Linked DNA regions of Rattus norvegicus. Each later gene encodes a partner of the first gene's protein in a complex. Links are inferred from orthologs where the notes say so. Each region holds a gene or a part of one and is shown on either strand. Other genes may lie near its edges.

Evidence for each region.
Region 2: the proteins of Zdhhc9 (region 1) and Golga7 are in contact, whole or in part, in a cryo-EM structure (PDB 8HF3), measured with the Homo sapiens proteins. The link is inferred for Rattus norvegicus from reciprocal best matches to the Homo sapiens genes ZDHHC9 and GOLGA7. Residues at the interface, in NP_001008223.1 of Homo sapiens: Phe78, Ala81, Arg85, Ile94, Pro95, Leu98, Asp100, Glu101, Phe104, Ile105, Phe129, Gln130, Ile131, Asn132, Ile146, Pro149, Pro150, Arg182, Tyr183, Leu186, Tyr274, Lys281, Cys284, Glu285, Leu287, Cys288, Gly289, Pro290, Leu291, Pro292; in NP_001002296.1 of Homo sapiens: Lys11, Phe13, Gln15, Tyr18, Ser19, Ser20, Gly21, Thr22, Ala57, Glu58, Leu60, Ser64, Tyr65, Gly68, Cys72, Ala75, Tyr76, Thr77, Phe79, Leu80, Tyr86, Glu87, Leu90, Ile116, Arg118, Gly119, Arg121, Val122.

The regions. Positions count from the first base shown.
Region 1 is NC_086039.1:132,234,623-132,238,435, forward strand, and holds part of Zdhhc9 (palmitoyltransferase ZDHHC9), read right to left. Parts: intron 3,755-3,813; coding exon 3,652-3,754; intron 1,732-3,651; coding exon 1,628-1,731; intron 1,272-1,627; coding exon 1,175-1,271; intron 1-1,174. UniProt on the Homo sapiens protein: Palmitoyltransferase that catalyzes the addition of palmitate onto various protein substrates, such as ADRB2, GSDMD, HRAS, NRAS and CGAS. The ZDHHC9-GOLGA7 complex is a palmitoyltransferase specific for HRAS and NRAS.
Region 2 is NC_086034.1:75,468,543-75,472,854, reverse strand, and holds the start of Golga7 (golgin subfamily A member 7), read right to left. Parts: upstream 2,947-4,312; 5' UTR 2,730-2,946; coding exon 2,619-2,729; intron 1-2,618. UniProt on the Homo sapiens protein: May be involved in protein transport from Golgi to cell surface. The ZDHHC9-GOLGA7 complex is a palmitoyltransferase specific for HRAS and NRAS.

The DNA.
Region 1 (3,813 bases):
AAGTCACTTGCCGAGTAAACATGATGGCTTAAGTTTGATTTCTGTGAGAAAACTCTTTAAAAATTATTGGGGTTGGGGATTTAGCTCAGTGGTAGAGCTCTTGCCTAGGAAGCACAAGGCCCTGGGTTCTTCGGTCCCCAGCTCCGGAAAAAAGAAAAAAAAATTGTCACCTGACTTCCACACGTGCGCTGTGGCATACCCATGCCTAGGCTCACACATACATGCCACATAAACACACACCATAGTAATGATAACTAAAATTTTAGAAATAAAAAACAAAATGTGGAAACGGTGAATGGACAGATAAAACATGGTGTATCCGTGTGAGAGGATATGAGTCTGCTATATAAAGGAATGAAGTACTGCCACATATAACACAGATCAGCATTGAAGTATTATGCCAGGGGGCCTGGGGACCTCATTGGTAGAGTGCTTGCCTAGCATGTATGAGGCCCTGGGATCCATCCCTATACCATACCATAACACACACACACACACACACACACACACACACACACACACGGTATCTTGGTGAGGAGGGAGTTATACAAGGTTTCTTAACACAGAGGATAAGGAATTTTTTTTATTTAATTGTGACAATCATATAAGCATTTACTAAGGAACTGCATATTTTAAACAGGCATCGTATGGTATTTACGTTGTATCTCAATAAAGGTCTTAGAAGGAAATTTCAAATTTTTAGGAACATATTTTGTGAAATATATCTTGCCCTAGGTGCCTGGGAGAATGCTTACATGTACAGTATACCAATGTAAGTATATCACTAACCGACCTAACATGCTCCTCTGTCCACAGCTTGGCCCCTTTTAGGTTTCCCTAATCAAGCTACTTGCCACACACACAGTGATGCTCTGGTTTCTTCTCCCTCATGTCCACCCAACAGGAAATGCTCTCCCAGCAGGACTTCATTCAGTTTGCTAGCTGGTGTAGCCCTAGCACCTATGAAAGTAGTTGGCACCAAATAACTGATCAATACGTGTCTAAGGAATGAGTAAATCTTCATCTGTGTCAAGGGTACACTGATCTGAAAGTGGTATCAGGACATAATCAGAGACAGGGAAGCTGAAGAAATCAGGATACAAAATCGCAGTTATATTTTGAAGCTGTCTAGTGGGCCTACAGGGTCTCTTATCACCTACACAGCGACACTTACTGGGCTCTGTGGCAAGAGGCTACTGCTGGTCTCTTGAGTACTTGGAGGTCGACTTCCACTTTCCTCCAGTGGCAAAATACCCCTCCGATCCAGGACACTGACAGAAACAGAAGAACGAATCAAAGACTTGACATGCACTTGTCTATCAGCTCAGTCCCCCCTGAACCTTGGTCTGTACATCAGAAAGCACAAACATGCCTTCAGCAATGTGTCCTGACCCCAGCACACATCTGTCCTCCATTTACTCTTCCACAAACTGGAGGATGTCACATTAATCAGGGAACAAACAAACAATACAGCCAGCCCATGGTTTTATGGCTCATGTAGATATGGTGCCATGTGACAACTCCTAGGAAGACTTAGTTGATATCAGGAAGTTCCATGCAGAAGAATGCAGCAGAGCAGGCAAGGGGATGGGTTTGAGCGTCCAAGGCATTACTGTTACTTGAGTACCTTGGGGGCAAGGGGCCACAAAGCACTTCACAGCAGTTCTTCACAATGTTTCCATGACTGTACGGATTCTGCACACGGTTCTTCCCTGTCCACGATCCTTTGATCTGCAAGATACGAGCCAAGGCTTACATTGAAAAAGTCTGCTGTAGAAACACGGGCAGTATGGGCTAATGAAGAAGTGCAAGAGGCAATAATTACACAATAAACTGAATGCACTACATGTCACTGCCCTGTACACTCAAAACAGTTAAAGGTGTCACACACCCTGGAAGCCTAGAACTTGGGAGGCCAAGGATGGGATTCTGGGTGCTAGGGCAACCTAGTCCACAGAGTAGTCTCAAAATCCCACAAAAATAAATTAAGAAAAAAATTGTAAATGGTTGAGATGGTATGGATGCTGTATGGCGTATACATTTTTAAACAAAATTAATGAAAAGAAAATAGGGGCCAGGGAGAGAGTTCAGTGGATTTAAAAAAAAGGCATTTATTTGCCACCAAGCCTGACAGGTTGTCATCAAGACCCACAGGATAAAAGGAGAGAACCAAAGTGTCCTCTGATATTCCACAGTGCAGTTGTGTGTGCACATGTGCACAGATTAATAAATCTAGTTTGCAAAAGAAATAGTTGAACATGAAAATATAAGAGTAAAAAACCCACAAATGTACATGTTCTATTTTTATCTTAAAATACAGTGTACATATGAACTCACAGGGACCGTGACAGCACCACAAGACCTGCACAAAATGCCAGCACAGAGAAAGGATAGAACTCTAAGTTCTACCAGGAACCAAGAAGCTATTTACAATTGATGCCTGCAGGGAAAGGAAAGGTCCGTCCTCCCCAGTGGAGTGTCCTTGGATATAAGAACCACACTCCAGGGTAGGCCCCACCCATGCCCAGGAGTTGGTTGGACTCACAAACAGATTCTGTGTTTTGTTTTGCGAGCTATGGGAGTGTGCCTTTTGTTTTGTTTTACTTTTGGTCTAGAATTTTGGGGTTTTTGATTTTTTTCTTTCTTTTAAGAAAAAAAGACTATGAAGTCAGGTGGATATGGAGGTGGGGAAGATCTGGGATAAGTTGAGGGAAGAGAAAAATATGGCCAAAATATATTGTACTAAAAATCGTTAAATAAAAATGAAATTTAAACTATAGTGTATATGGAAACAAATGAGATCAAACCTACACAAGTTTAGAAGACTATAAATCATGTCATTAACAAAAGCGATAGGTAGTGGGGTTGGGGATTTAGCTCAGTGGTAGAGCGCTTGCCTAGCAAGCGCAAGGCCCTGGGTTCGGTCCCCAGCTCCAAAAAAAAAAAAGAAAAAAGAAAAAAAAAAGCAATAGGTAGAAGGTAAGGTTACAGGCATTTATTCATTTCTTCAACTCTATTTTCTCATTATCCATAATGAACATGAATTGGCAGTTCCTTAAAAGTAAATATTTATTTGATGCATTTATCCTTCTCCATTCCAAATTTAGAAGCACCAACTACCCTTTTTGATCTTGTTGATTGCCTGCTCTGAAACTAGGTCTAGCTATGTCAGTCAAGCAAGTCTCTTTGTCACTACACAGCTCAGAACAGCCTTCCCCTTGACATCTTCCTGTTTCAGTCTCTCTAGCAAGCGAATAGGAGTGTTCAATCACACTAGGGCTTTGACTAGTCTTTTTTTTTTCTTCTTCTTCTTCTTCTTTTTTTCGGAGCTGGGGACCGAACCCAGGGCCTTGCGCTAGCAAGCGCTCTACCACTGAGCTAAATCCCCAACCCCTTGACTAGTCTTTAAGTACCCATACCTAGTCAAAAGACATGTCTATCCAATTTTTCAACCTCTTCCTAATGTTTTACGGCATTCCACTCCAAAAAAGGCTGTCTGCCTTTTATTTAACCACCTCCCAAATCCACGTCTTTTTTCCCCCATTTGTCTCATCCTTCCAGGCCCTGGACACATGCTTGCTTTCCTAGCAGGTAATAAGGAAACTGGCGGTGGAAAGAAGGATACAGAGCAGGGAGAGAAGGTTGACTCACGTCTTCATTGGTAGTCTGGTTGAGAGCCACAAGGAAAGTGTGAAATCCAGTCAGCCCCACAACAGACCAGAGAGTGAAGAAGCAAATGAGGACTTCCAGAACAGTGAGGTTAGGTTAAGGAATGTTGGAGAACGTATGGTAGGTATGGGACCTGATGTTTCA
Region 2 (4,312 bases), on another chromosome or scaffold:
TTTCAGTGTTATCAAGTGACACAACTGGACTTAAGCTCCAAAGAACAAATTCAGGAGTTTTTAACATCTGCTATGTCTAAGCACAGTAAGACAGTCATCAGCTTTCCAAAGGTCTTTAGATAGAAGTCTTGTTGTTGAAATGCACACTGCTGAAGCCCACAGTGATCGCAAGTGCAACGCCAAGTCAAAGGTTACTTCTGCTGACCAGATAAGTAGAATGTGTGTCTACTGCCGTCCATTTGTAGTTTCTCTTCTCAGAAGACCACCAAGGGTGACTACAACACTTACATGTTGGCTAAAAGGACAACACAGGTTCACCTGAAGAACTACTGAGGCAGCTGGGCTCTCAGGCATCGAAGCATCACACTGTAACAGGCAGGGGAGTGACTGCTCAGCTGACAGAATTCGGGGCTCTCAAACAGCTCGCAAGGATTTTTAAGTATAATGTAACATGAGACACTTGTGCATTAGTTCCTTTCTCTAGCACACTGGCGAGTGTGATATTCCCTCAGAATGAAAGCCAGGCCTACCAGCAGGCCAGCACAATCACCAGTCTTTCTAGGTTAGCAGAGAAATAAAGAGGCCTTTCAACTTCATCACACAAAATCAAGGAAACTTAAATGTATAATCAACACACACACACATAAAGCTTTTCCAAGTGGTTTACAGCAAGTGTTTAACTCGACACTAAAATAGTCAAAGGCACATGCCACACAGTGGTCAGTACCACAAGCAATTCTGCGGTTTATCAAGTCAATGAAGTACCACTTTTGGATGGCAGAATTTAGCAACATCAATTTCCTGTAAAGGTCTGTGTGACTACATCTGGTTTTCTTAAGCTAAGATTATTAAGGAAAGGTTCTACCACACAGGATGAAAGGCTAATGCCTGATGTCGCATATATGTGTACTGGCTCAACAAAGAACTCTGACTTATAAACCATTAGAGGCCTTTAAATGACGAGTCACAAACAAGGCAACCAAAACCTGCTATCCTCTCCCTCCTCACTCTCCCTGAGGCAAGAGGGCATCGGATCCCATTACAGACGGTTGTGAGCTACCATGTGGTTGCTGGGACTTGAACTCAGGACCTCTGGGAGAGCAGCCAGTGCTCCTAACCCCTGAGTCATCTCTGCAGCCCCAGAGACAACGGTCTTGCTATGCAGTTCACACTGGCTTACAACTCAGAATCCTCCTCCCTCTGGCCCTCGGGTTCCAGATTACAAGTGTCCACAACCACACACTATTTACACAGTATCTTTTCAAAGCTTCTTGGATCTTTAATTGGCAGTTCGAGAAAGGCAACTGTGCCATTAACTTGCCTATGGCATAAATCAAACTTAAGGGCAAGGTAATGAATCAGTGATTTTTCAGCCCTAACAGTCAGTGCTGGGAATGGAAGCGGTGGACAAGTGGTCTACCACTGAAATAAGGTTCAGGATTCCCACCCTTCCCAAGCCACTTTAGAGCATGGCATTTTCAAGTTGCCTAGGTTGGCCTTGAACATTCAATCTTCCTGCCTTCGACTCCCTAGTAGCTGGGAGTAGTCCTGACTAAATATTTAATGCTGGGGATAGATCCCTGGGCCTTCAACCTGGAAAGAACAGGCTCTTTGCGTTAAGCTACACACCCAGCCTACGAACCACCAATCTGATTTTAAATGGCTGGTACACATTTCTCTGGTACACACTCATCTCCACCCACCTACTCCACAACCAGCATTTCTTAGCCCCACACCCACACCACGCTTAATTACCTCAAAGTTCCTCATCCTCCTGGCTCAGTTTCTAGAAACTGACTTATGAACAGCAAACAGAATCTGACTAATACGGCCAAAGAACAAAAGAATCACACGGGCTAGGCACAAGAACGCACAAGAACACACAAGAACACACAAGAACACACGCACACAGGTAGATTTCTGGTGTTGTTAAATCCGAAGGAATGGTAAACAAATCCCGTCTTTGTTTACAAGGTTGTCCAAAGGACCTGTGCCCGTGACCGTTTTGATATGCAAGGCAAACAGGAAGCTCTCACTGATTATGACTGAGTGCAGGGTTGGTTCAGCTACAACCTGTCCCAGCCAATGTACGTTTTTCAGGTTCCAAGAAGGCCTGTCTGGACTACCAAGCACGTCACTAATAAACCCTTTCAGCTGAACATCATGATCAGCACAGTGACCACAAATATCAGTCATGAGAACGATGACGCTGTCTTTTGAGGATATAGACTACCACAGGAGGTTATGAGGCAGCCCGGAGTTCCAGGAATTAGCACCTCATCAAGATGTCAATAACTGAGTATGTGTGTGCACCTCAATAAGGTGTCAATAACCGTGTCTGTATGTTTGAGTGTGTGTACGTTTATGTGTCGGTGTCCTGTTAAGGACACTCTTGGGTGGACTGAGGGGTAGCGTGCATCCCAAAGTTCTATAAGACCACTGCACTCTGAGCATTACTAGCCTTAGCAGTCTTTCTCTAAATACTAGACCGTAACTTCTTCGTAGACCTTCTGCTATGGATCTGAAGGCCTCCTGATCTCCAGAACTGTGGGACACTCCCTCCCGCTCCAGGGACTCTACACTCCCCAGGGGCGGGGGCAGGGATCCAGGCTGCGTACCCTGTTCTCCAGCTCCGCGGGGAACTTGGTCTGGAACTGGCAGCGGGTGCCACTGCTGTAGTCTCGCTGAATGAAGACCTTCCCGGACACCGGCGCCTGCTGCGGCCTCATGGCGAGGACAGGACCCGCCGCTCTGCGAGTTCGGGCAAGACACAGGTCAGATTGCCGGCCTAGAGCCGGCTCTCGGGCCCGCCTGCCCTTCGGAGCCACCCACCGCCCAAAGATGCCCAAGACCTCCCCCTCGCCGATCCCCTTCACTCATGGCTGTAGCTGAGAGCCTCCAGCTACCCAAGCCCAGGACCCGCGCCCCCCGACATCCTGGTTCGGCCCTGTTAACACAAACCCGCCTCCTCAGCCCTCCAGCAGCTGTCGCACCACGTTCGTCGTCACTTACGTCCTGTCGCAAAAAGCCTTGCCTCTCCTAAACTCATTCTGCGCCACTCATTTATACCCCGCCCCCTCCGGCCGTAAAGGATACCTCCGAGGCTGCGCGCTGCGGAGAGGTGCGCGGTAGCTGGGACAGAAGTCTTCCTAGTGTAGGCGGGTGAAGCCCTTCCGGGCGGAAGAAGAATAAGAGGTGGATATGGATATGATCGGTGTATCGGGAGTTCCTGGAAAGACTCCGGGGTTAGAGACTCGTATTCTGTTAGCTGTGGGGAAGTGGTTTCTGATCATAGGAGTGTTTCCTTTCTTGACTATGCGTTCAAGTTTTCCTGTGGGCTACAGCACCTCCCTCCACAAAAACAATCGCCACTCTCCAAATCCCTTAAACCCAGACTGTTCACCTATATTTACAACTACAAAGCGCGCTACCGGGGGTGCGTCTGGACCCTGGTACCCTCTTGTGCGGGAGGGAGGTGAATAATATTCTTGTTCTGAGCCGTTGGCTTTTTTCATCCCAGAGACGTATGTACATCAGCTATACCTGCGTAGGTGACCAGACTGTATCTACAGTTCTCTCATTGGTTCCCTACTTTACTGACCCTGTCTTTGCAAGACATCCAGAAAATCCCTATCCACGCCTGGTGGTGATGTTCTAATACAACTTTTTAATATCACGGATACTTGATCAATTATCACTGACAATTGATTTCTCGGGGTTTTAAAAATAGCATTTAAAAATCCCAGCATCGGGGTTGGGTAGAGGCTGGCCCACTCCCTGGTGATCTCTGAGTTCAAGGCCACCCCAGTTTACTTAAATAGTTCCAGGCCAGCCGGGTTGACATAGTGAGACCCTGTCTCAAAAGTGGATAACTTTGTCCCAGAAAAGGGTGTATCGTAAACCCAGTCACTTAATGTGGACACAGTTTGCTAACAGTTTGCCCTTAAACCATCAGTGCAATCAAGATAATTATCACTGCCTCTAAAACCTTCCTTATTCTTTACAGTCATCCTTTTTAGTCATTCAGCAGACCTCTTTGCCCAGCACTAACCTTTCTGTCACTGGAAATAAATTTGCATTTTCCTTAAATTGAATCAGAGTTTTTGGTCTCGTTCTTATTATATAGATTATTTTGAGATTCCTCTGTTGTGCCATTTGTAATTTCATTTGTTTGACATTCCCCATTTATTCATTCACTTACTGTCTCAGGGTTTCCATTGTTGTGAAGAGACACCTTGAGCAAGGCAGCTCTTATTAAGGACAATATTTAATTGGGGGTGTCTTAGAGGTTTTGAGGTTCAGTCCATTATCA